7 linked regions of the Coturnix japonica genome follow. The main gene of each other region encodes a partner of the protein of the gene in region 2 in a complex. Links are inferred from orthologs where the notes say so. Each region holds a gene or a part of one and is shown on either strand. Other genes may lie near its edges.

Region 1 (3,500 bases), on a different chromosome or scaffold from region 2:
GTGAAACTTCAAGGTAGCTACAAGTTTATTGTGTCTCTGTGGAGTTTACACCAGGGACAAACTGCTTGTGGAACAAGCTTACTCTTATTACTGCTTCTATTGAATCTTAATGCTAGTTTTATTTATTACTGTGATGTTCTTTGAGATGATGTAGTGACGAATGAAGAGTTTTTAGGCCTTCTTAAATGCCCCATATGTGTTAAGTCTTTAAATCATCAATTTTTGACTGCAGAAATCTTGACTTCACTTGCTTATGGATTCCTCAAAGATGATTGTTCTGTCAGCAAATCGAACCTGGAGATTTTTTCTTATTTTAGCACTCTAGATTTAGTTTCATTCGCATGTTAATGTTTGAGCTTCAAAGAGCAAGCTCTTCTGATTACTTTTCAGATGACGTTAGTTGTCTTCTGTGGTAACATGTTTGGTAAAACAGTGATTAAAGAAGTCATCAGTAGGTACATCTGAACTATTTTATCTGTTTACCTTTAAATTGAATCAAGACAATATGTTTTTCTGTATGTGAATTTTAATTCGTTTTACCTTTTGGTTGGTTTATAGTTTGTGGCAGCCCATTTGTTTCATTAAGACATGTGGCTCTGGAGCCTATTGACTGTTGATCAGCACTGATAAAGTGCTTCATAGTAGCACTCTTCCTGTGATTCAGAGCCTCTTGACATTCTGTAAATAGCATTTTGAGAGTATTTAGTGCTCTGACCTGAGTCCAGTATAGTTCAGCAGGAGGAAGCTTGGGGCTAGACAGTGGCTTTCATAGGAGGTTGATGGAAAAAGGACTTAGAATTATGTCTTGTCTCAGTGCACTTGCTGGTAGATTACAGCACTCGTCAGACTCTTTTCTATTTCCCACAGGGAGCTGAAATATTTTTTTCTGGAGCTGATTTATATTTGCTCAGTGGTCTGAACGTTTAGGAGTGCTGTAGCATTATGTTCTGGCTGGATAGAGGGCAAAAATGGCAGAGAGAAATCAGGCAGGTGAAACACTATAGGTAGGAACTGGGGCATAAAGAGAAGAACAACACATCTATGTCTGCAGTTTTTGGATGTGCAGAAGAAACTTGCAGCAGTGTTGTCTGATTATCTGTTCTTTCTGGTTTGGACTGAGGATATTTTAACAGCCACGAAAAATAATCAGCTGTTGTCATATCCCTGGGTCTCGGTCTGGCGTTAATTGCTGCTGAGAAAGCCATTGCTGTCATGAAAAAAGATGTAGGAAACTATCCTGTTTGTATAGTGTACGCATAGTCTCTTTTCTCTTTTGGCCATTTTGCTCCCTTCTGTTAGATAGGCTTCCCCTAAAATACACCCAAGAAAGTCTGGTTTTGCCTTGTTCTCTGCTTGAATATTCTTGCATTTTCTCTTTAAAGATGTTTAAAGATGTCAGTGGTTCTAAGCTGCACCAGGGGAGATTCAGGCTGGGCATTAGGAAATATTACTTCTCATGGGTGGTCAGGCATTGGAATGGACTGCCCAGGGAAGTGGTGGAGTCACTGACCCTGGGGGTGTTCAAGAAACATTTGGATGTTGTGTTGAGAGATATGATTTAGCTGGGAAGTGTTGGTGATGGTTGGACTAGATGATCTTCTAGGTCTTTTCCAGCCTTGATAATTCTGTGTGATTCTGTATTGCTTCATTCAATCAGTATTTTGATCAGTTCACTAGGAAGATAGAAAGACTGAAATAAACGGTTCTGGTTCAAACTTTATCTATTTAGTTTAATTCTTCACAGCTGCTTCACAACTTAGTCAACAAAATACTAAGTTAATAAAATGTTTAACATAACAGACTATATCCTTTGATGGAGTTATGTATGCTTTAAGGTGAAAAAATGGTACAGAGGAATGTAAAATGCAGGGTCTGATTACATTGGCGTATACACTTGTTATTTCGTGGGGAAAAAAAAGGAGAATGTTCTTTTTCCAGATTAAAATTTTAATCTTTTGAGAACAGTTCATTAAAATCATAGTTGTGTCTTAATTAAATACAGTTATTTCATTATTCACTCTTTTGAGTTGCTCTGTTTGTACCATTCATATTGAATGACAGTACCTTGGAGCTAGCCTTGTAGTAATCTGAGTTTGCTGTTTGTTTTCTTTATATTGTTTTGCTTTTAGTTGGATGACAGTAACTGGACGGCAATGCTCTCACCTCAGCAGACAGGAATGTTTGCAAATCTAGACATGACGGAAGATGTCACCACAAGTGCTGTACTGTTACGTGAGGATGATCCTGGGGAAGCTGGTGAGATGCTCTGAGGCTTTCATCACAATTGAACACATACGTGTTTTTGTTTTCCTGTATCTTCTCACTTAGATATTCCTATGCCAGAAGCAGAATAGTTTAAAGAGTTCAGAAAGTTAGCTTTTCTAGTTATTGAACTTGCTGACACAAATGGGATGCTGTGGTGAAGTAATACACAAATTGAATTCTCTGTGGAGACATAGAAGCAGGTTTGTCTTTAAAACTTGGATGACAGATTTACAGCAGATGTTTAATAATTATTTTATTTATCTCAAAGCTTCTATATATCTTTTTATATTAGCTGATGAATTCTTCTGACTTTATGAGGTATAAACAGTTCATATCATCACTGTCCTTGCTAACATTTATTAGTGATGAGATACCTTGGCATCAGAAGGATTCTTCTTTTAGTGTTGGTATTTTTAACCACAACATGTCTTAAATGGCTTTCTTCTTCTTCTGTTTATTCTAGCTACTATGAGCATGTACTCAGATTTTCTGCATTCCTTCCTGAAACATACATCAACGACCATTTTCGATCTCGTGGATGAGTATGAAAATATATGTAATAATCAGGTAAATAGTTTGCTTTGATGGGTCTTTTATTATTTGTTTTAATTTACCATCAACATACACACAGACACAGAATTGTCGGGGTTGGAAGGGACCTCTAGAGATCATTGAGTCCAACCCCCCTGCCAAAGCAGGTTCCCTACACCACGTCACACAGGTAGGCGTCCAGTCGGGTCTTGAATATCTCCAGAGAAGGAGACTCCACCACAACCCTGGGCAGCCTGTTCCAGTGCTCCGTCACCCTCACTGTAAAGAAGTACTTCCACACATCCGTGCGGAACTTCCCATGCTGTACTTTCATCCCATTACCCCTAGTCCTGTCCCCACGCATGTTACTGTGGTGGTCTAGGAGCTTTCTACTGCATTCCTAGCAAACTGGCAGTAGAGTTCTCAACGTCAGCTTTAAGAAGTCTGTTTATTTAAATAACAGACTATTGACTGATGGTCCGTTATCAGCAGGGATTATAAAAATAAAAATGATGAGCACTATTGACTGTGTATGTGCTTCCTTACCTCAGGTGAACATACTGGGGAAGATAGTTTACAGAGCAACTCCTGGACAGCAGAAGTTTTCAAAGACCGCCAGTGTCTTGTGGCTTCTCAAGCAGGAGATGGTAACGTGGAGACTGTTGTCCTCACTTTATAGGTAATTTCTTTGAAAAGCCCATTGC
Region 2 (3,964 bases):
TGCAGTTTAGCTCCCCCAGCTCATCTGTGCTCTCCCAGCCAGCACATAAAGCTTCCCCTCCCTCCAGTAGCAGACACACATTCCAGCACAGCCCAGCCGTGAAAGTGCCTGTGCTGGCTGATTAGCTCTGGAGCAAGTACAATGCAGCAAGCAGAGGCTTTTAGCAGTTTCTTGTTGACAAAGAGTCACATTACATTACCACTCAAGCAGCAGAACACCCGTTTTGGGTGCTGCCTCATCCCTTGGGGTACTCCCACTTGCCTGCCAGAGTTAGTTTGGAAAGCACCCAATGTCACCTGTTAAACTACACCTGCCCCGAACGCAAGCCTCACCTTGTAGGACCACATCCGAAGCTTGTGGTCCTGGCAGAGAGCAAAGAGAAAGGCATCGTGGTCCAGGCAGTGAACTGCAAGGCTGATGGGCACGTCTGATGGGCCACCGTCACCTCTGAAAGCACAGGTGTGTTAAAAGGAAGCCAAGGTTGGCACACAGGTCCAAGGCAGTAGATTTCTATCGTGATGTTTTACCCATTAAGATGAAGGACTGAGGTGGGAAAAGAAAGGCACCTGGCCCCAAGCAACGCACCCCTTGTGATCCAACTCAGGGTGCCGCAGGCTCACTCACATTTCCCAGGAAGGCTTTAACAGGGTTTGATCATGTGCTTAAGCTGCCATAAGACTACAGTCCCCAAACGAGCTGTTATCTACACGTAACCTCTGCTGGTCAGAAAGAAGCCTGACATTTTGGAACAAGGACAAGAACATACAACTGTTGTAATCCTTAATCTACCCTGGCTGCGAGCCACATCCTGGGTAAATCCTCAGAGGCCAATTACTGGATGTAACACACTCACAGACACCAACGCACAGAATCAGCAGGACCCCACTAAGATGAACTAATCCAGCCCTCAAGTCTCACTGTGACGGGGCCTGTGACCCAGTTAACATTGCAGAACACATCTGCAGGTGCTGATTTGCCCACGCTGGACTTCAACTAGAAACACCACCTCCTCCTATGCGAGGGAATCATAAAGCAAAGCGAGCTCCCTGTGTTTGTCCCCAAACACCAACCTGATTGCTGTTGGCATCCAACCGGTGAGAAAGCGCTGCACCACCGAGCTCTGCTTCAACTCCACAACCGAAACAACTCCTTGCAAAATAAAAGCAACACAGGGAAAACACAGTGAGGACTTAGTTAACAAAACACATGTTGCCAGAAAGGAGGCTGATGCAAAAGAGATGCTGTGTGTGCAGCAAGGCCGTAAGACACAAGTGACAAAAGCAAAACCCATCGAGGTCCAAAGCTGGAAGAGGGGATACAGTGCTCCACAGAAGCAGGTGTGAGGATGCAGCCTTACCAGGTATGTCATGAGGAGGCAGCTTAATAACAAAGATGCCTCCTGCTGCAGAGGGTAGAGCAAAAAGGGCCTCCCCATCACTGCTCAGCCAGGCTGCTGAGGCCAGTGAGTTGGCTGCCAAGCCTGGCACACTGGGAATCAGGTAGTAGCTGGATGGATCTCTGAAGTTGATTTTGCCAATGTCTGTAAAGACGGACTGCACTTGACTCTCTGCTATCAGATCCTGGAGGAGGTAAAGGGAGGAGAACAAGTCTCAAGCACATACACAAGCCATGGAGGAAATAACTCACCACCTACAGAGCAACACTGCTAAGTGACAGTCACTTTTTCAACCCACGATTGCTGCTTCCCAAAACATACAGGCTTTAAAATCTCATTTTCCAGCAGCATTTTCTCCCTTCTCACACTCAGTAATGCCTCCACAGGAGCCACTGACCACAGGGCCAGGCTTTAAATCCCTCATAAACTCCTCTATGCCACTCACCCCGCGATAGGCACGGGCTGGATGAGGCAGCAGGATGCGGTGCACGCTCTGCACAGTGACCAGCAGCAGCACCAGGTGGTTCTGCACCTCACACAGGTGTACACCGCCCGGCAGCAGCGGGCAGCCCTGGATGCGTAACCGCACAGCATTGTTCAGCAGCTCCGTGTCCAGAGATTCCTCCACCAGCTCAAGGATGTCCCCAGATGTTGTCCTGAGAGAAACAAGGAAGTGTGGGACAACAGGGGACACAAGGAGGGGCTGGGAGCAGGTAAAACCATCCCTGCCTGCCCCACCCCCACCCCCATAGCCTTCTCTATCCCTTCCTGCCCCAAATTCATTCCTTCTATAGCAAAACCCCTTCCTTCTGTCCCTGCCTTCTCCAACTCACATCCCTATCATCCCCCAAACCCATCCTCAACCCCCACAACCCCCACCTTCCATCCCTACCTGCCTCCAAACCCACCCCCACCACCCCACAGACCCTTGATCCACCCCCAGCCCCAAACCCATCCCCCCTCATTCCCTCCATCACTCCATTCCCACCCCAAAACCCAACACCCTCCCACTCCAGACAGCCCCTCCATGCCCCAAGCAGCCTCTCTATCACAGCCTCTCTATCTCTATGCCCCAAAGAGCCCCTCCATGACTCAACCCCCCCCCCAGGCCTTCATCCCGCCCCGTCCCCTCACAGCCCCGCCCGCCCTTACTCACCACCTCACGCAGCGGTTCCGCGTGGCCGCCCCCAACTGAGCGCACTCTCGGTAACAGAACCCCCCAGCGCTGTCCCCGTAACGCCCGGTGGGGACGGGGGCGGTACCCGGCGGGCTGAAGGACACCTCCCGGATCCGTCGGGGCGGGGCACGAGGAGCCGGGCCCAGCTCCATGTAGCTGCGCTCCGCCAGCCCCGCCGCCATCTTGTCAGCGCCTTCCCGCCCGCGCGGGGCAGCACGGGAAATGGCGGGCGGGGAGGAGGCGGGGCCACCTGCCGGGTGGGCGGGGCTAAGGGCGGGGTGGGCGGGGCTATGGGCGAGGCCACGCCCACTTGCGCCCAGGCCACGCCCCCTCCGGGCTCGCCCGCTGCTTCCTGCGGGCACGGCCGGGACGGGGCGGCGGCGGAGTGCTGAGAGTGAGTGAGAGCGGGGGGGGAGGGATCTATGGGGCTGGATGTGGGGCTGGGGTGTGTAGAGCTGTGGGGGGTTGGATATGGGGCTCACGGGGCCGTGTGACCGCTGGGGTCCCACAGCGGACCCACAGCTGAGGGTCTCCGTGGGGGCGGGGGGGGGGAGCCGGGGTTTGCTATGGGGCCTGTGGGGCGTGGGGTTCCCTGTGCTGTGGGTCCCTGTGGGGCTGGGGGTCGCTGGGGTCTGTGGGTCCTGGGGTTCCCAGCACTGTGGGTGCCTGTGGATCTGGGGACCGAGGGCTACAATGGGGCTACGGTTCCGTGGGGTGGGAGCCAGGGATCCCTATGGGGCATGGGGTCTGTGGGTCCCAATGGGGCTTAGGTCTGCGGGTTCCCAGTGCCGTGGGTCCCCGTGGGGCTGGGGACTGCGTGTCCGAGCGGGACAGCAGGCCATGGACCCTGGGGGTCACGATGGGGCAGGAAGCTGTGTGTGCCCATGGCGGGAGCGGGTTGTAGGATCCAGGAGGGGAGAGCGAGCGTTCGGGACCCCAAGCCCATGGCGTCACCCCAGCGCTGCTCCTCGGCCGCGGGGCCGCCGGAATCTTGGGAAAAAAAAGCAGGGAAATGGTGAAACTCCTGCCCTTATATGGCTCCGGCCGCCCTCCGACGGCCTTGGCTATTCGTTTCCCACGCGGGAATTCCCCGCTGCCTCAGTTTCCCCATCCGCTGGTCGCTGGAGGGGCCGGGCGTGGTGGGGGTGGGGGGCATCGGGCCGGTCTGGGGGCTGAGGTCGGGGTTAAATCCCTCGACGGAGGCTTTGGCAGCACCGGGAAGGGGAGGGGGGGGGGGGGCACCGTCGGCCCCGCGCCGTAATCCCGGAGCTGAGCGGATTATGGTGGCCGTGGGGCGAGCGGAGCTGCGGCTCGACGGACGCCCCAAGGCCGTGCCCTCCCGGGGGGCACCGATCCGAGGGCGGCGGTGGAACGCGGCCATGCGGCACGGG
Region 3 (3,500 bases), on a different chromosome or scaffold from region 2:
TATTTAGTAAATTAGTTTGTTTCTCCTCAGATTGTTGCCACTGTTTTAAATTATTTTGGTGTCCCCTGTTTCACTTATCCAGAGATGTGGATCTGCAGATCCCTCCACCCCATCACTCATGGAACCAGGCTGAACCAGCCCATAAACTGACAACAGATACAGATTACCTTACAACAATTACTTTTTTCACTGTTTACTTGAAGAAAAGAGCAGTAGACTCTGTGTATATGAACATTTCCAACAGCAGTTATCTGCAGGATATATTTGGAGTCCAAAGCAGCTTTTCTGCAAGCCACATTAAACATAAATTCAGAGATGAAATTTAATCAGTGTTGTTCTAAGAAAAAAAAAAATGGATCCACAAACATATCTGGCAAGACAAGTAAGTAACCACAGAAATTGAGCTTTGTCCTAAAACATCACGATTAAGGTATGATTCAAGTGTCTGCTGAAGGTACTAATATTTTACAAACAAAAGCATCACTTCCCTTAAATAGTAATACTTCTTATTCATTTTATGACACATGACTAAAATTAAAACCAGGCTTGAGGTTCCATGTGGTTTGACTCATGAAAAAAAACAGGATAAACAATTAAAATAGAAATAGGAAACATTTCCACAATGTACTGAGGGTACTGGTGTTTTTTTTTTTCTCTACTCCATTCACAGAATGTTAGATGAGTAAGTTGGAGTCCTTAATGTGCTGCCCAGTTACAGACGAACTACTGAAAAATATAGAACGCTACCAAGTGATACTTAGAGATTTTTTCCCCCTTGGCAGGAAACAAAGGAGAAATAAATGAGAGCAAGACTTTGTTACATGACCCAGATGTTTGAAACTACATGGAACACTGACTCAGAAGATTATTTACTTTCCGAGACTGAATCTTAAAAGCTAGAAACAGTACTAGTTTTCTTTAGAGAACAGAAAACAGAACCATAAGGAACAGAACTATGCAAATACATCATGCTACCAATCTTCCACATTCAATCTTATTCCAGACTTCTCTAAAAAAGAAAATTAATGGATGAATAAGGAAAATGAACTGAACAATCTCAGAAACTTAGTACTGATCCCCCCAAAAACTAAAATCTTCCTAGAAGGAGCTAAAAGTTTACATTGATTTCTACTGACCAAACAGTGATATGACCAAAATCATCCCTGATTATCATTCTGACAGTTGAGTTGGCAGCTCTAGAAGGGTAACAGAGAACAAAACATGCTTGTGGTTGATCTATTCTACTTGCTATCCCCTCTGCAGCCCCACTTTCAAATAAAATGAGTCTTTAATAGAAATAAGTAAAAGGTAACATTGGCAGTGCCACCACTACTTTTAAAAGCAAAATAAACTTAAAATAAAGCTGTCCACTTAGAATATTTGTTATACTCTGTTGTATAGCTACTGAGGTGGATACCAATGCAATAAATGTGTGGAAGGACACATCTGGCACATAAAAGAACATCAGAATTATGCAGGTTCTACTAAGGTAACATAGCCTCCGGAAATGAAGTGAGATCAGGAGGTGGCATCTTCTAAACAAAAGTAAGAGTCTTCTTAACATTATACAGACTTTTGTAAAAACAGTGTCAAGATTAACAGTCTAGTATCAACAAAAGCACAGAGCTTTTAGTATTTTTGCCTTTATGCTCCCTATTTGCATCACTAAAATTAAACAACATTGGCATTTAAACTGTGCTGACTAAGCTTAGAAGTCCTGTTCTTCATTCATTTCCCCCCATTTCTTGGAGGTGGGACAGGGGAGGGAGGAGAAAGGTTTGTATTTTTTTTTTCAATATTTGAGTAGATGCAAAAACAGTACAGGCCAACAATTAACAAGCTTGCAATTGTATGATCAAGTGTGAAATAACACCTACCACAAGCAGCACAGACTGAAGTATCTGTCACAAGACAGACAAAAAGGCAGGTGCTGTGAATTTTGTTTTTTTCTCTATCAGAGTTTAGACTCCAGTAGATGTTGCTGACAAATAGAAATGTTTTGCAACTAAAAAAGTTGAACTACTTCTGAGATCTCAGATGAGAGTCATCATCCTGAAAGAAAAACTCACAATGGTTTCTATGACTCAGAAATGCAGAGTATATGCAGATTGTCTTAAGTGAGTGGCTCCTGAAATCCAGGTATTAATGCTTCTAGTTTAAATACAAAGATTTAAGTTCATGGAGGAAATAAAGAAGGGAGCTGAACAACAAACAACAACCCTAAACAGTGCCTGTTACTTAATTCTTTATCTAGCTAATAAAGCTCTTCTGTAGCTCACACTGTATGGACATTGTTTCCTCAGAGGAATTTTCCACATCACACTCCTCAGCTCTCCTAAGTACAGAGACATGTTAGAGTCTTATTCTAGGTGATCCTGCTTGGACGCAGGGTTAAGTTCATCACAACTTAGTAGCATAGTTCTTTGTATCTGACCAACAAGCTGAAATCACAATAGTGACACGCTACTGCTTAAGAAATATTGGACCAGGTGATCAAAAGAGTTTCTTCTGGCCTTTTAATCCTTTTACTCATTGCCATTTTAATTCATACAGATACCAAATTTTATTGTAGTACACAGACACTTCCATGAACCACTTAATTATTTAACCAGAGGAACTTTAACCAAACTTTGAATAGGTATGGGCTGGTTGATTAAGCCTCAGTGAAGGTGAGAAATCTATTTGACTTTTAGACTCCACCATGCTTCTTCAGGACTAGTAACTATCAAAAACTATTTTCATTTTACATAAGCTAAGTTTGAGCTGAGAGATATTTAGAAAGAAAACAAAGAGAAAATTGTCAATTTCAGGCATTTTCAAGATAAAGCTATGTTAAAATAGGGAGAAAATTAAGAGATAAGAATCCCACATCGTCTATGCTTAAGACTTACTTTCGCCATCTCCGTCCTTATCAAATTCTTCAATCATAGCCCGCAGTTCTTCCTCAGACATATTTTCACCCAGCTCTCTAGCAACACGACGCAGGTTTCTCAGGCTTATTTTACCAGAGTCGTCATCATCAAACAATTTGAATGCCTTGAGTATTTCTTCTTGTGGATCTCTGTCCAATATCCAGTCTGTCACTGTAAAGATTCTGAAGTTAGACTAAAAAATTCTGAAGGGTAAACAGAATGACAGGCTGACTGAGGTAACAGAAAGAATATATATTCCAGATTTCATCTGTTCTTTCATTTTTAAACTATTTCAGTTCACAGTATGCATGCGTACTTGTTTGGCAGCTATCTGGCCTTTCTTTCTCTACTCTCTTTTCAAAGCTGAGTTATTCTTCAGCATATATCAGGCACAGTTGAAAAGTTACATGGCAATTTAGACTATATCATGCTTTCAATAGGCTTTTCTATACAAACTGAAAGTATAAACATGCCTTTTCTATTTGAAAAATGCATTTCAGAAAAAAAATAAAATAAAAAAAACCATCAGCTCTCACAGAACCAGGCACTTGAATTTGTTGATTTTAAATATTATGATCTGGATAGAAT
Region 4 (3,500 bases), on a different chromosome or scaffold from region 2:
ACTGCCACTGTGAGGAATTCCAGTATCATGACCTTAATGCGCATGTCCTCGATCTTGCTCTGCAGGCGGGTGAGGAAGGCGTCGCGGATGGCAGCAGCATCACTACCAAGACAGGCATAAACAGACATGGGAGCAACCTGTAAAAGGAAAGAAACATCAGAAGCCAGGATAACCAAATGCTACAGAACGCCTCTTCTCTAATACAAATAGCTTTCAGTCCACACTCCCTTCAGCCGACTTGCATTAACCTCCCTGATACAAACAAGCCTGAAGAAACTGTTTTGAAAGAATTCAGTGGTGGAATCAGTCAGAAAGGAAGAAGCAAAGCTCTCGTGGGAGCCTCATCCTACCGTAGCCAGTCGCTTGAGCAGCTGGATGGCCAGGCGTGGAAGCGCAGGATCATGCTTGTGGTAGATATATTTGGCCAAGACAGCAATAAGATTGTTTCCATGAGCACCTGAAAGGACCACAATCAGAATCAACGATTAAGAGCAGCTATTTCACAAATAATGACTTCCATAGCAGGAGGTGAGAATTAGGTGAGTCTTCCAAAAAAATGAAGCATGATGGGATCTTAAAGACCACCCAGTTCCAACCCCTCCACCACAAACAGGGTTACCACCCACTAGAATGCCTTAAAGGAGGGAGAATTAGCCTTCACCTATCACTAGAAAGCACATTTTGGACATTTCAATAACTGACATATTGTCTGTAATGAGACACACACTGACTATTTCTAAGTAACAAAAAACCACAACTTCCCAGGCTGTCCCCATGGAGGAATACATACCATGCTGAGTAAGTGCCTGTTCCAGTGGAGATACCACACTAGAGGGGGGTTTCAATCGTATGACATTATTGGTGACTGAGAATGCCAGCTTCACAGTTTGTATCAGCAGCTGGCCTTGGCCTTGTGACTCATCACTGTGTTTTGAAAAAGAAAGCAAAGTAACTGTGTTGACAACTGAGGTTTATTATCTGCACAACATTCAAAGATGAAATTCTGCACTCTGTCAGTCAGAGGTTATAACACATTTTCACTCTGACTGTCACATCACCACCTAACAGCTGCTGAAATACAAACCCCCACACAGCCACAATGTGGATTGTCTACTCAGCCCTGAATTCTCAGCATCAAACAAAAAAGGAAAATAGTCTGACAGCCTATTGTCACTTCTCTCCCCCTCTTTATGAGAAAGGTTTTAAATGCATTAAGACAGAGGGAGAAACATTTGCATGAGCCAATCTTAAAGAAACTATAACACATCCACGATAGAGGATGAGACTAAGCTGGCTCTAAATCCAGCATTTTTCTAAGGCTTTCCTTACGAGACAAATATTCTGGAGAGATATTAAAGCCAAAAAGCATTTTCACATTGCTATTTGCTTTCTCTCTAATAAGTTTGGATTCCCTTCCAGATGTTCCAAAAGAAACAAAAGGCAGGCTTTCTCAAAAACAACCTCCTGGCAAGTTTGGCTAAGCAAAGTAGAAAACTAAAGGAACAGCATGAAGCATAGAGTACAACAAAAATTAAATATGGATCCGTAACAAAGAAGGCTTGCTCCTCTAGAATATACAAGGCAGGCTGCCACAGATCCCCAGGTAAGTGCAATCATGTCAAAGCTACATTTCAAATACTGCCCTGTTGTTTTCCTTCTTACACAGAGATGAAGAACAACTCACCTACTAGACTGGGAGGCCATTACCATGTCAATAGTGTGCACACCAATCCCCATGATGTTAATGACAGCTTGCCCTGCTTCAGTGTTGGCCAGGCTGAAGATGCACAAGGACTGAAGGCTGGGGGCATTGCTGTGGGACACACACACCACAGAACATCATCATTAAGATCACTCACTATACTTTCCGCCCCCAGCACTTACTAAATAACCACAAAGTAATGTTAGCATTTCTACATGTCCACTAACTTCCACTTCATTCTCCCTTCTACTTCCTTCAGAGTGGATATATCAAATAGGAAAGTGGGTGGCAGTCTGCGCCATGGAACACATATGCTTTTTTCCCTTTCTGTATCAGATATTCTAAAAACCACCATGCTTTTCTTTGTCTCTTTTTCTACCCTTCCTATTCTCAGTAATGCAGAAAACCACTGAAACCAGCACTACACAAGCAGGCCAGTTAACTCCAGGTAACTTACATTCAAAAAGTGAAACAAAAAGACAGCAACAGAGTCCTGCTGCACTATAAGCCAGGCAACCCCAGACCTGACATCCATCATCCACCTTACCTACTGCGAGGATCCATTTCAGGGCATAAATTCAGTATTGCATGAATCAATTGTAGAATGAGGCATCCTGAAACACAGATGAAAAGGACCGCTCAGTTTTCAAGACAACCTGTTACCTAGTCCCTAATATTTTCAACCAAATCTCAGCATCTACCAATACCAGCAGATGATGTACAAAGCAAATCCTAAATGTCTGCCAGAACAAAGAGCTGATTAAAAAATGGGAAAAATTTACGTATTCTCCCCAAGGCTGGTGATCCTTTTCAACCTCACCTGCCAACCCCCTCCATTTCCTTACCAATTTTCTCTCTCACTCCATGAGAGTTGTAACGCCATTTGTGGTAATTCGGTAACATCTCCTTCAGGACAAACACGATGCAGGGCACAAGCCCTTGGCTCTGGGTGCTACCAAGTTGTCCCTGGAAGAAACAGAAATGTTATTTTTTCCTTTCACGTTTAATGGACATCAAATCTTTCATAGGAAGACCAGCTATGGGTCTTTAAATGTGAGAAAACCACTGAAGATGGTGACATAGATATAAAAAAAATTTCTATTGTCTTGTAGATCAGATCAGAGCAGAGCTTTGAAAGAAGCAGAGAAAGCACAAAGCAGCAGCACATAAGGAACACTGACCAATGACTGATTACTCAGAGACACACTGCTGTATTTCTCTTTCTCAGCTGACTTCACATAACGACCACTCCAGAAGCACTCACCCGGACCAGAGTCGTGATGAGATTCAGGAAGGAGATGGTAACTCTGTACTCGCCTTGAGGCTGCTCTATGCTCATCAGCAGGTTTCCATAGCCCCCAGCATTCATTCCCTCTGCACTGTGAAACAAGCAAGGGGATTCATTGTACAAATAATACAACTTCGACATGAGTGAGAAATGCCAGAGATGCACAGATTCCATAAATCTTAGATTTCAAACAGGCAGAAAGGTCTTATGGCAAATTATGAACAAATCAGGCAGAAAAAAACAACAACACACCAATACCTAACCATGTGATTCATACTGGACACTGGATTGGCAACAAATGGTAAGAAGCCCGTATGGTGAAGGTCAGTCCAAACCTGCATGAGAATAAGAAGAGATATTATCTCGCACTCACATGCCTATGTACCAGTTTTCAAACTTAGAAAACCAAGAAGGTCCTCACCTTGGCTGGCATCCGTGCAGCCAGTACAGTCAAACAATTGACACAAGAAGCAATAACATCCATAGGGGGAGAGATTACAGTTGTCAGCC
Region 5 (3,500 bases), on a different chromosome or scaffold from region 2:
TTCTCTGTTAACCTATACATTTATTGGCTTAAGGAATCTGTCCGAGCAGCCTCATTAAGCCCAGATTGTGCTGCCTTGGAGTTTTTAGAGAGGTTTTTGGTGAAGTTTTTTGATAACTCTGTGTTTTAACTGAGTGTAGTCAGTTCCTTTTTGACCACATGTTTTTTAACTTTACAGTTTGCAACAAGTTTGGACTGAAAAGAAACTATATTGGTGCTGGAGCACACTTCCATGTTGAGTTTTTCCTTCCCCAACAAGAGCCAGTATTAAAGAAATGTGGCCCTTCATTGCACCAACTAATGAAAGAAATGCTAATATTTAATATTATTATTTATAGCAGAATTTCTTTTCATTCTAGATTTGCTCTTTTTCATGTGTTAAATAGAGTTTAATCTTTATAGAAGATGCTTTAGGAATATCTGGAATAGTTTGGGGCCTTTAGCTGTGCTGAGAATACTTGAACTGAAGCAGATGTAGCTCAAGATGGTGCTGATGAGAGTAAGATCAGGACTGGTAAACTTGGTTACTGAGCTTATGTATATGGTTTCTGGCAGGTGATGAGAAGACCCTTCCTCCAGCACCAGTACTCATCTTGCTCTCTACGGATGGTGTGCTCTGCCCATTTTACATGATCAATCAAAATCCAGGGGTCAGATCGCTTCTTGTGACCCCAGAGCCATTGCCAGCAGCAGGGGAGAGAGCACCAAAATCACCAGGTGAGTGCTGCAGTGGGTTAAGGAAAGACTTGCATTTGTGGATCTTTGTCATCTTCATCTGTGAGCTTGTTATTCAGATAGACATGCAGTCACAGAAAAGGTTGGTTGTTTTTACTTGTAATAGTAATGGGAGCGGATCATGGGTATTTTGTGCTCACCAGTCAGTTCTCCATCTCTTGTACATCTAGATGAAATAATATAGTCCTGTTCATCCTAGGGGATCTCAGGCAGTTTTCAGACAGTGTGTTTAAACCCCTCTGTGTGATGGTTTCCCTCTCTGTTCTTATCGTGGCCTCCCGTGGCAAAACTAACATATTTGACTGCAGAAAGAGCTTATTTAAGTTATAGCTTTCTTCATCACTGTGAAAACAGTGTCAGGAGGTGAAAAGCAGTAGTTTTATCTGACTGTATGTTGGGTACCATATACAATGTAAAGTAGATACTTTCTTATTCTAGGTTAGACAGGTCAGTTGGTTGTTCTGCTTCTCTGCATGCATGCAGTAATAATTGCAAGCCCACCATTTTCTTCCCTGAGCTTGCATTTGCTTCTCCAAACAGAATGCATCTGTTTGGCAGCCTGCCTCTCTGCAGTGCTGGCTGACTTGTGTGCTGACAGCCTTTTTTTATGTGAGATGGCAGAAACCTCATCAAAAGCATTGGAGAAACGTGAAACCTTTTCACTGGGAATTCCAGGCAATGTTAATGTATTTGGATGTGAGTAAACTGCAGTATTGATCACATCTTGGACTTTGTGCACTCATTTGCCAGATGTGAGGACTGGAAGCCCTCTTCCCTCCTCACTTTCCTTCACTGTACAGTCTGCCTAGTGAATGAGGTTGTACTTAGCTGTCCCATCAAATGGTATTTGGCCTCGCAGTACCTTCTTCCATTAGTCAGTGCAACCAAATGAGTCTTTACCTATTTGTGTTTCTGCAGGAAGTACTGTCACAGCTCCGACCACTCCGCCAACCTCCTTAAAGCCTGATGCAGTACCAGCTGTTGCTTCTGCCCCAATTCAGCCTCCTGCAGGAGATGGAGCAGCTGCTTTTTCCTTTACACCTTCAACTGCAAAGGTGCCTGGCTCTACAGGCGGTGAACTTCCACCTTACCCCTTTGCCACTGATACCTCCAAGCAAATCCTGGCTCCAAGTCTTACAGGAGTGGCAACATTCTCTTTCTCCTCTGCTTCTCCTAAGGCATCCACAACACCTGCTATTTCTATGGGCACCACCGCAGCCACAGCCACCTCCTTCTCCTTTGGATCCATGAATTTGAAACCGTCTGCAGAAAGTTCTCCTGGACTGCCACAATCCACAGCTCCTGCTGCACAGAAGTCTTCTTTTTCCCCTTCGGCTTCTTCAGTTAAAGTGAATCTCAATGAGAAGTAAGTATAAAGATGCTATAGTGCAGTGGCTGGATAGCTGTTAAATCAGTCCAGGTGTGGACAATGTGTGGTAGTTCTGAACATCACACAGTGTTCTTTGGCCTCTTGCCCTGACAACTGTTCTCCATACTCCCAAAAAAGCTCTGAGGAAGCTCCTCCTTATCTAAAACTCATTTGTCTTGGCTGTGAAAACCCTCAGCGTTTCTCATGCTAGAAATGGTGTTTGTGGGCAGATTATTAGTTGGGGGAGATGCTGGAGTCCTACTTTTCTCATGTCTTTACTACATAGGCTTGATATGAAATAATTCCTTGTTTTGGTTTGAGATAAGTCATAATTAAAGACTCTTGGGAAACCGTGGGACTTGAAAACTCTTGTAGCTGTTTTAGTGTAGTGGTGCTGGCACTAATTTATTTTGCTGTGAAGGTTCCTTATCTCCAACCTTGAGAGTAATTTGCAATGCTGGAGGAAGCTGTATCCGTAGGTGATAGACTTCTTTTCCACTATGTTGGATGGAGGGGATGCCATCTAACATGGTTCTTAACTGGATGCTTGCTCAGTGGATGTAGGGCCTGAAATCTTCAAAGCTTGTTCATGCTGAACCATTTATGGAAGCTGAAGGAGAGCTGATACTGCGTATAAAATTGGCAAAATAGATTTGAGTGATGCATATTCTCAGATTTCATGTACTTGTTCTGCCCTCCAACTCCTGAGACTTGCTCCCATTTTCAGAAAGAGTGGTTTGGAACAGATCTATGTTAATTGGAGTTGCTTTCCACAGAGAGCAATTTTTGTGTCAATGTTTTTTAAGAGATTTCTGATCATTCAAATGATTATTTTTTAATTAGAATAATCTTTGCTACACCAAGATCTGATGGTAGCTCTTAAGGCTTTTTAAATTTCATATTTTGTGTATAAAGCAAATGATACGCTTGTGAATTGGCTGAATATTCAACTTTGCTGCCCTGAGGGCCCAAGTTTGAAGATGAATGGAAGTTCATATTTTCTTGCAGAGTTTCTCTTTGAGCTTTGTTTTAAGGCTGGTACTGAAGGGTGGCTCAGATTTGCTACAGTTGGTGCTTTTGTGCAAAATGAAGAGGTATGTTTTGAAACAGGGAAGGACTTCTTGCTGGCATTTGGTTTTTCATCATAGACCAGCTCTGATGAACTATGGTAGCAGAATTTATCATTCCAGATAGTCCAGAATATCCCTGATGGTTCCTCTCCACCATTTCCAAAGACTACACTTGAAATGTTGGGTCTGGAGCTTAAGTCATTGCTGATACCAGAGTCTGCTAATTTGTTAGAGCTTAATGGTTTCTTTTAGATGGAGTGAAGCAGCTTGGGCCACTTCAGAGCTGAAAATTGTTTTGCTTTCGTCTGCAGGTTCACCGCTGTAGAC
Region 6 (4,109 bases), on a different chromosome or scaffold from region 2:
GAAAACCAGGAGCTGCTAGGGGACGTAGCAACCCCATGTGCACTGACCTATTGTTCAGGAGAGACAGCAGGGTCTGGATTTGTTTGAACAGACTAGCATGCCACTGAGATGGCTGGGAGGAGAGAGGGGCGTGGTGGAAAGCAGCAGTTCCATGCTCTGCAATGCAGTACAGAGCATCTTTCCAGTGTTTACTTGTGATACCTCAGTGTGCCCCAGCAGAAGCTGCCTGCACTGGCAGAGGCTGACCACAACAGCCACGCTCCTGTACCGTTAGAAAGCAGGAAGCAGTGAGTGCAGGAGCAGCACAGACTTCAGCTTGATTTGATTCAAATCAGTCTGCTTCCTCTTCTCATTAAGAACAAGATGAAAAGCCAAGAGTGTGAGAAGGCACTGACTTCTCAGAGCTCTAAAACCAAAAGCACAGAGAGTCAGGGGACTACAAATAGCTCCACAGACTGCAATTGTCAAGCACGGATCCCAAGTCAATTCCATATACAGGCTGTCCCACAAATCTGCCAAGGTAGGACAACCGTAATGACTCTGGAAAACAGAGACTGAATTCAGCAAATATAGAATAAACTTGTTAATTTGAAGCAACTCCAACTACCTTTGATTATAACCAAACACTGGGAATGAGAGCTCAAACCTTTCTCTAGAGCTCAAACAGCAGCGTGTTCCAAGGGACAGACTTCAAACATCCAGACCGGGTAACAGCATGAACTACTTAGTCTCCATGCTGTCAGAATTTACTGCATTCAGGAGGCTGCAGTCTGACTCCAAATGCCGCTGTGCAAGATGGAAAACTGCTGCCACAGGGACGAGCAAATGACAGCAGACTGTTGTGTCTGGCTGCAGAATGTGCAACAACTTACACCTAAGGGAGAGAAAATACACCAGAAATTAAACTAACTTCGGTGAAACTGGATCGACCCAGGGCTAGAAGCCAGGGCTGAAAAAGCCCTTCTGTAAAACGACTTTGATGACTTATCAATAGAAGCTGCTGCATTAGTCTGCTATTGCTTGTCCAATAAAAGCCCCATTTAATGTTTTCCCAACATTTAAAACCGCATGTAGATGTTACAAACTCTACAAGCTGGCTGGATTTCAGCCAAAATGAAATCAGAAATGATGACAGGTTTCTAATTCTGTTCAGACTGACCATAAATGCCGGCTGGTCGTGGAAAGCCAGGCCCTGCAGTGCTAGCAGATGAAGAGTGCTGTCCTACTCCAAATACGGCCATGCTGAACATTTCACCATATGAGCTTCATAAAGACTTCAAGCTGAAGAGCTCCCATGTGTAAGCAAGTGTCTGCTGTACTTCATACACTGACAGTCTTTGTGCCACCTAATTATAATTAATTTATTTAAAGAGACTGACTAAAAATTCAGAGGGAAGCCTCACCCACTGCAATCAGAAGAGCTGATAAAGAGTACAATCCAACCAGGGGCAAAAAGATTCTTCCCAAGACAAAACAAAGAGGAAGAAATCCAGCGTTACCCTCTCAGAGTGCTCCAGAGACCCATGTGACAAGTCAGCATCCGCTCCCTTTGGAAGGAAGAGAGTAAGTGACTGAGTATGAAAGCAAAGAGCAGGCGGCAAAATACATACATGTATATCTTGAATGAATGAAAAATGCCACTTCCGTGATATTAGACACTGATATTAAGCTCCTTTCTAAGAATGCAGGAACTGTCAATGAGCTTGTTAAACAGAGCACACGTAGGGCAGGAATGGTACAGACAACTGAGCCCCACCAGCAGCACACACAGGTCACCTGCTCCCGCTCCCAAGGTCTGTCCCTGACTCATTTTCAACTTCTATAAGGGAAAAGGACCGATTGCAAACCACACATCTATTACATGTTGTCCACAAATTGCCCTCTGCTACACGACTTTTAATCAAACCTAGCAAAGGGAGCCACACCACCTCCTGGTTTAAGCTAAAAGCACAAGCCACACTAAAACCAAACACGTAAGGGCTCCAAGCTGCATGTGGTGCTCCAGCTGGTACAGTGCCCTGGATGTAGGAAAGTCCTGAACAGAGCACACAGCAACGAACTCCTCAACTCAGTGTTCATTCCACCACCCACAAATTAAATCAGCTGCCATCCCTATATTTCCCAGTCCTGTATGCTTTGTTCTTCAGCTGCAGGCAGGTGTGTAAGTTACCAACCCTTTGATCGCGGCTCCCAAGCTCTGGTCTCATAGAGCTTTTACAGCACAAACTGAATAAAACCAGCTGTTTCTGAGGTCTTACTGCACTGCCGTGCCGCCTGCCCTGCTCACTCCCCTCACGCTCCTTATGTTGTAGCTCGGATCCTCTCCCCACAATCTTTCCTTTGCTATCAGCACCGCAGGAACAAGCAGGAACCACACGAGCTGATGTAGCCATTCCCAGTCAGTCCATCCTTTCGGTCCCCTCATGTCGGCCCCACCCGCCATCACCCCGTGCATCTCCCCCCGCCTCCAGCCCTCACACAGCCCGGCCCGGACCCCCGGCAGCGGCCCGCACAGCTGGCAGACATTGCCTCGGCCCGAGGGCACCCGCTCACAGGAGGCCCCGCGCCTCAGCGCCCGCCCAGGGCAGGGAGCGCCGAGCTCAGGAGCCGGGGAGCAGAACGATGTGAGGACGGAGGACGGAGGCCGCCCGCACCGCGATCCCCGCCGCGCCCACCGCCCCTCACTCACCTGCCCGCCGCTCCGGCCGCCGCGCCTGCACGCCCGCGCCGCGCGCCACCATTGGCCACGCTCTCCCCCTTCCCCGCCAGCCCATTGGTCGAGCCGGCGCGCTTCCTGACGCTACGCATTTCCATTGGTTGTCGAGCTGAGTCCCGCCCCTCCAGCTCGTCTCGCGACAAGAAGTGATTGAGGCGCTGGGAGGCGGCGCGGGCTGTGCGTGGTTATGGGGGCGGTGAGCCGGGAGACGCGGGTTCGAGGCTGCCCGCCGCCTCTTCCAATGAGGAACGGCCCGACGGCCGCGCGGGGCCGGGGGTCAGAGATGAAAACACTATAAACGAAAAGCGGAACGCCTGCAGACTGCCATCAGTACGGCTGTTCGCTGCCCTGAACCCCCACAGCCATCTGTTCCCCATTCCCCACTTGTGTCCATTGTGCCATGTAGGATGTGAGGCTCACTCACTCACATAAAGAAAAACTTGATTTCAATTAAAAAACCCACCCTGCAGGGACCCCGGGCCGCACACCCCCCTCAGCCCAGCTCCCCTCAGCAGACATTGCCCTCACACCTTCCCACAGCGCTCATGTTTGAAGGCACGGCCCCCAGAGCTCGTCCTGGGGGCTGCTCCAACCCGGGGCACGGCTGGGAAGGAGCCCAGGCCCTGATTTACAAGGCAAATACACACTGAGCGGGGCAGCCCCTTTCCCATCTCCAGCACCACCCCAGCGAGGGGCCCGGGGACTCAGGGCCACCCACCCCACACGGCTCCCAGCCCCATTGGAGGGCACGAGCTGTCCCCACCCGCAGAGCATGGGACGAGGCAGCATGGCCAGGAGCAGAGCACACAGCACACAGACATGTGTGGGCAGGCTGTGCCCTGCAGCACAGGTAGGGCCAACTTTCGCTTGGCAGGTGTATTCGGAAGGAAAAGAGCAGCCAGGCGCCTTCCCACGCCCCCACCCCCCTCCTTGTCTGCCCCCCCAGGGCAGGAGCCGGCCGGGCTGTGCTCACACCTGCCCCATGTGGCACCCTGAGCCCCCCACTCACCAGGGGCTGTGAAACAGAGCACCCCAACTGCACGACACCACTCTGTCCCCTCAAACCACAGCCCACAGGGGGTTGGCGCAGCCCCCAGCACCAGTGCTCCCACACACGTGTCACAAGCAGCATCAGGGCTCAGCCAAACTCATTTATTTCCTCCATCAGCACAGAAGGTACAAAACATGTAAAAATAAGCTTTGTTTTGTGTTTGTGGCCCCCATCACCCCCCACCCTGTCCCCAAAGCATGGCAGCTATTTACAGGCGAGGCGGGCTGCTCAGTGGCAGCAGCTGCACTTGCTGCTGGCTGGTTCCTTGCAGACACAGCCCTTGGCACAGTTGTTGCAGCCAGCGGGGCAGCAGGAGCAGCAGCCTGAGGGGGAGAAAGGAGA
Region 7 (4,187 bases), on a different chromosome or scaffold from region 2:
TGCGGGATTTGCAGTGGCTTCCTTGGAGAGCAAGTGCCGTGCTTCATCCATTCGGCCTTGCAGTACGAAGATATCCACCTGCAGAAAGCACGTCTGTGAGTACCAAGCTGTGCAGGGCTACCACGCACCCAGGTGGAATATCAGGAGAATCTTCAAGAAAGCCAAGTAGAGTTACAAGATTTCAACTCTAGGCCCTGCTAATTTGAATATACAACCTCTGTGAATCATGAAATTGGATGGTGGTTGAGTCACTGTCCCTGGATGTGTTTAAAAGCCATTTGGATGTGGTGCTCGGGGACATGATTTAGCGGAGGGCTGTTGGGTAGGTAGGGTAGCATGGTTAGGCTGTAGTTGGACTTGATGACCCTTCGGGTCTTTTCCAACCTGAGTGATTCTATGACCTTGACAATGCTTTATCTTAAAACTACAAAGACAGAAGCAGCATCTCAGGTATCAGTTTCTGAGATGTGCTACAGTGCTGAGAAGAGGAATGCGAGACACACAGGCACGACTTCATCTAAACGTCTGACAGGGGGCTGTACTCACCACGTTCCAGAAGAGTTTGTGTTTTGATGGATTTTCGCTGCTCAGAACTTCACGGACCATGTTGTCTACATCACAGATGTGAAGCTGAACCCAGTCAAGGAGACGAAGCAGGAGAGGACCAGCTTTACACAGAGAAGGTATCACTGTTAGTTCCCAAACTGTTTGTCCCCAGGCAGTTAATTTAAGAAGGTTCTTATGCTTTAAGGTCAAATAAACTGGGAACAAGTTTTTGTTTATTATGCTTCTGTGAGAAATAAATAAATAAGCCAGTGTAAAGTAGAATGCATCCTGATATAATTTAATACAAAAAAATGCAATTTACTGAGGCAGAAAAGGTATCAGAATTCGGTGCTGCTTGTCATACACTCCACAGTAAGCATTAAGATGTAGCACCACGCACGCTGTCTACATTTTAAACGATTATTACGCAAACAAGACCACTTTCAGGCTTAACATCAGAACTGTTCACTGCTCACCTGGCGCTGCTTCAACAAACAGAATCTCACACAGATTCCAGATCAGCTCCATGGCAGAGAGAATAGAAACCTGACAAAAAGCAGAGCTGCGTTTCAGGGTCATAATTGTTCCTGTTATTTAATTTTAAGTGCACAGCTGAATGTGCTGCCCACAGAGATGGGTTTTTGTAGACAAGAGAAATGTCACATTGATATTCCAGAGATAATCAAAAGACAGAAACAGGCCATAACTTCTCTATACACATCCATTTTAGAAAATATCGGTGGTTTGTGTATTGAAATGCAACAGTAATCGCTCCTCAGGGAAATGCAGAACAGTGCAGAAAGTGTTAATTGAAGCCTTTTTAATCTCCTGAGAGTTAGAGAGCACAGAAGGAACTAAAGGCAAACTAAGCAACATCAGTGCTGTTCAAACAACAAACTACAGCCACGGTGTTGGTCTTTGTGGCTTTACTAACCAATATTCATGCAACTACGTGGATGTGACTGTACGTTACCTGAATGCTGTACTGGTTGTGCAGGGCAGAGTCCCGGGCTGAAACTGAGCGAAAAATACACCAAGTCAAAAAGCAGCATAAAAAGCAGCATATTTACAGGTACAACAAAACTTTCTGAGCTCATTCATACAGTCCTTGATCGCTCGCTGGGTACAGCCCCAGATGTGTGCACAGCTGATACAGCTCAGCTCACCCTGCAGAACTCTTTATAAATCTGGTATATTTACAGGACAAGGATGTTAAGACACAGTGAGTCCTCTCACTGTTTCAGAGGAGCAAGCTGGTGAATTTGACTCATTTTTCCACAAAACCACAAGTCATGACATGAAAATACTGCAAGTCTTCCCAAAATCAGTTACGAGATGATGAACCAACATGGAAATCTCAATGATGGAAGATGGAATCCTGTTAATTACTGAAGTTTATATGGGCTGTTTTTCAGTAGCTATAGCAACTTCCAAGAGAAATCTTATTTTTATCATCACAAGTAGCATCTTTTTACTGCAGTGCAACAGACTTACTGGCAGCCTGGTGCATGTCCTCCATGCAGGCTCTTATGACCGAGCGGTAGTTTTTACTCACTTGGACTAATCTGCCAAACACAAAAAGGATCGTTTACAGAGAGATACTGCTTCGGTTACGGTCCCTTTTCTGTGCATCCGTGGATGCTTCCAGAACCAGGGTCAGCCTGGTGGGTGCTGCCCGTGCTGTGCAGGGTCCCACGCACTGTTCAGCACCCAAAAGGAGGCTGTTCCGGCCCCACTCACTGCGCGTTCCTCGCCCTGGCAGCCCGCTCCTCCTCGCAGCGCTGCAGCCCCACGAAGATGCCGTGGGACTCGTTGAAAAGCTTCCGCAGCGTCTCCATGTAGATGTCCTGATCCCTGCGCACCACGAACACGCGCGACGGACCCGCCGCTCCGTCCCCGCCGCCCGCAGCGCCGCATCCCGCCGGCCCCGGCCCCGCGCTGCCGCCCCGGCCGAACAGCGTCTCGCACAGCAGCATCTCGGCGGGGCCCCACTCGAAGCACAGCTGAGCTCGGGCCGGGTCGGCGCCCGGCACCACCTGCGGGAAGGGAGAGGAGAGCGGGGGGCGAAGGTAAGGAAAGGGAAGGGAAAGGAAGGGACGGGGACGGGCGGTCCGGCCCTGACCGTCAGCGGCGGCTCCGTCTCGGGCTCCTCCATGGCCACGCCGCGCTCCCGCCCGCGCTGAGGCCCCTGGCGGCTGCCCGCCCCGCTGCCCAACGCCCCGCGGAGCTCCGCAGCGTTACCCGCAGCCGGCAGCCAGCGAGGCTCCCTGCGGGCTGCTCCGCTTCGGGCCCTCGGGACCGACGGGGCTCCGACACTTCGGGGCAGGCGCGGCCGGTCGCCCCGGAAACAGCGCCGGCATTGAAGGCCCCGGCGGGGCGGGACGGGGGAGGACGCGAGGAGGGGAGGGGAGGAGAGGACGGGCCGCTGTAATGGCAGAGCGGGGCGGGGGGGACGCGGCAGGAGCGGAGCGGAGCTGTGTCGTGTCCACCTGTCTGTCCCGCCGTGTCCCGCTGTCCCGCCGTGTCCCGCTGTCCCGCCGCGGTCGCTCTGTAACGGGCAGTAAAAAGGCAGGTGCTGCTCAGCCTGAACCAGCGCTGCTGAGAGGCCCGAGCCCTGGGCAGTGTCTGTTGGTCTCACTGCTCTTATTTTCCTTTTCGTCGTTGTGTTGAAGGATGTTTTGATGTCTGAGGTGAGGGTGTAGGAATGGGACAGTGTCCTCCTGCCTCAGGATCCCATCCAGTGCAAAGACTGAAAAACTACAAGCTGATGTAAAGCTGCAGCTCCTTTCCTGCTTTGTGCTGACGGACACAGCCCCTCTGCTCACTGACTAAAAACGCCAGTAGCTTTTCATGGCTGCAGCTCCTGCTGCCCTTGAGAAAGTGACTTTTGCCGAGGGAAATGACCTTGGCAGAGGTGAAGTTTAGTTTGCAGTGTCTTAGTCCTTCTTGGAAGGTTGGCTGGAGGTCTGCGTGTATCTAGGAGAGAGATGAGCCTGCACTCTGGCTCAGAAAGGCTCTTGTGCCTGACCAGTCTGTAACTGAATCGAATTACAACCAGAATGGCAGCGTGGAAGTACACAGTGTTCAAAAAGACTTGAGAGCTACAGCTCTGGGTTCAGCCAAAAGAACACGACTGTTTTCTGGGGATGGGAGAAAGCAGCAAAACTTTGAGGTCTAATGAGGAAGGGAATAAAGGGTTACAAAATAGAAGGTTGGAAAGTAATTTCATAGCTTGGGAGAAGGCAAGGAGGATAAGCATCGTGAAAGGGGAAGCATGAGACAGGCAATCACCTCGGCAATGCTTTTCTGCTCCTGGTGCTACACTAGTATTAATGAAGAGCAAAATCCGAATAAGCCACTCGCCCCTTCAGGGTTCAGGCTGAGAAGGTGCTGTAGGCTGACTGCCTTAGCAATAGGAATCCCATATATTAGTTTAAGGGCCAGTGTACAAGTTTAGCCAAAGGAATCATTGAGTGCTAGTTCTAAAACTTTCAGTTTGCTTGGTGAGTGAACAGCCTCGTTTTCTCTTAATTGTGCTTCACAGGAATAACAGACTCCTTGTCTTTGCGTTTCACCGGGGCAAGGACGTGTGCCTCAAATTGTCACAGAACTGTTTTGGAAGTTGCTCGTTCTGGCCTAAC

The links.
Region 1: NUP160 (region 2) and NUP107 share a complex: the UniProt entries of both Homo sapiens proteins name them as parts of the nuclear pore complex. The link is inferred for Coturnix japonica from reciprocal best matches to the Homo sapiens genes NUP160 and NUP107.
Region 3: NUP160 (region 2) and CETN3 share a complex: the UniProt entries of both Homo sapiens proteins name them as parts of the nuclear pore complex. The link is inferred for Coturnix japonica from reciprocal best matches to the Homo sapiens genes NUP160 and CETN3.
Region 4: NUP160 (region 2) and NUP188 share a complex: the UniProt entries of both Homo sapiens proteins name them as parts of the nuclear pore complex. The link is inferred for Coturnix japonica from reciprocal best matches to the Homo sapiens genes NUP160 and NUP188.
Region 5: NUP160 (region 2) and NUP214 share a complex: the UniProt entries of both Homo sapiens proteins name them as parts of the nuclear pore complex. The link is inferred for Coturnix japonica from reciprocal best matches to the Homo sapiens genes NUP160 and NUP214.
Region 6: NUP160 (region 2) and NUP93 share a complex: the UniProt entries of both Homo sapiens proteins name them as parts of the nuclear pore complex. The link is inferred for Coturnix japonica from reciprocal best matches to the Homo sapiens genes NUP160 and NUP93.
Region 7: NUP160 (region 2) and NUP85 share a complex: the UniProt entries of both Homo sapiens proteins name them as parts of the nuclear pore complex. The link is inferred for Coturnix japonica from reciprocal best matches to the Homo sapiens genes NUP160 and NUP85.

What each region holds. Positions count from the first base shown.
Region 1 is NC_029516.1:31,992,256-31,995,755, forward strand, and holds part of NUP107 (nuclear pore complex protein Nup107), read left to right. Parts: intron 1-2,129; coding exon 2,130-2,256; intron 2,257-2,728; coding exon 2,729-2,832; intron 2,833-3,347; coding exon 3,348-3,475; intron 3,476-3,500. UniProt on the Homo sapiens protein: Plays a role in the nuclear pore complex (NPC) assembly and/or maintenance. Required for the assembly of peripheral proteins into the NPC. May anchor NUP62 to the NPC. Involved in nephrogenesis.
Region 2 is NC_029520.1:524,166-528,129, reverse strand, and holds the start of NUP160 (nuclear pore complex protein Nup160), read right to left. Parts: upstream 2,801-3,964; 5' UTR 2,756-2,800; coding exon 2,553-2,755; intron 2,053-2,552; coding exon 1,842-2,052; intron 1,581-1,841; coding exon 1,358-1,580; intron 1,150-1,357; coding exon 1,071-1,149; intron 448-1,070; coding exon 333-447; intron 1-332. UniProt on the Homo sapiens protein: Functions as a component of the nuclear pore complex (NPC). Involved in poly(A)+ RNA transport.
Region 3 is NC_029547.1:53,325,919-53,329,418, reverse strand, and holds part of CETN3 (centrin-3), read right to left. Parts: intron 3,084-3,500; coding exon 2,892-3,083; intron 1-2,891. UniProt on the Homo sapiens protein: Plays a fundamental role in microtubule-organizing center structure and function. As a component of the TREX-2 complex, involved in the export of mRNAs to the cytoplasm through the nuclear pores.
Region 4 is NC_029532.1:4,043,956-4,047,455, reverse strand, and holds part of NUP188 (nucleoporin NUP188 homolog), read right to left. Parts: intron 3,500-3,500; coding exon 3,412-3,499; intron 3,326-3,411; coding exon 3,243-3,325; intron 3,082-3,242; coding exon 2,967-3,081; intron 2,669-2,966; coding exon 2,548-2,668; intron 2,317-2,547; coding exon 2,250-2,316; intron 1,814-2,249; coding exon 1,685-1,813; intron 925-1,684; coding exon 791-924; intron 458-790; coding exon 351-457; intron 138-350; coding exon 1-137. UniProt on the Homo sapiens protein: Component of the nuclear pore complex (NPC), a complex required for the trafficking across the nuclear envelope. Required for proper protein transport into the nucleus.
Region 5 is NC_029532.1:4,684,161-4,687,660, forward strand, and holds part of NUP214 (nuclear pore complex protein Nup214), read left to right. Parts: intron 1-554; coding exon 555-716; intron 717-1,652; coding exon 1,653-2,100; intron 2,101-3,484; coding exon 3,485-3,500. UniProt on the Homo sapiens protein: Part of the nuclear pore complex. Has a critical role in nucleocytoplasmic transport.
Region 6 is NC_029526.1:558,931-563,039, reverse strand, and holds the start of NUP93 (nuclear pore complex protein Nup93), read right to left. Parts: upstream 2,801-4,109; 5' UTR 2,690-2,800; intron 2,410-2,689; exon of another isoform or gene 1,500-2,409; intron 1,489-1,499; exon of another isoform or gene 1,404-1,488; intron 875-1,403; exon of another isoform or gene 608-874; intron 1-607. UniProt on the Homo sapiens protein: Plays a role in the nuclear pore complex (NPC) assembly and/or maintenance. May anchor nucleoporins, but not NUP153 and TPR, to the NPC. During renal development, regulates podocyte migration and proliferation through SMAD4 signaling.
Region 7 is NC_029533.1:9,354,767-9,358,953, reverse strand, and holds the start of NUP85 (nuclear pore complex protein Nup85), read right to left. Parts: upstream 2,801-4,187; 5' UTR 2,702-2,800; coding exon 2,669-2,701; intron 2,583-2,668; coding exon 2,287-2,582; intron 2,112-2,286; coding exon 2,041-2,111; intron 1,564-2,040; coding exon 1,520-1,563; intron 1,093-1,519; coding exon 1,023-1,092; intron 829-1,022; exon of another isoform or gene 669-828; coding exon 547-668; exon of another isoform or gene 79-546; coding exon 1-78. UniProt on the Homo sapiens protein: Essential component of the nuclear pore complex (NPC) that seems to be required for NPC assembly and maintenance. As part of the NPC Nup107-160 subcomplex plays a role in RNA export and in tethering NUP96/Nup98 and NUP153 to the nucleus.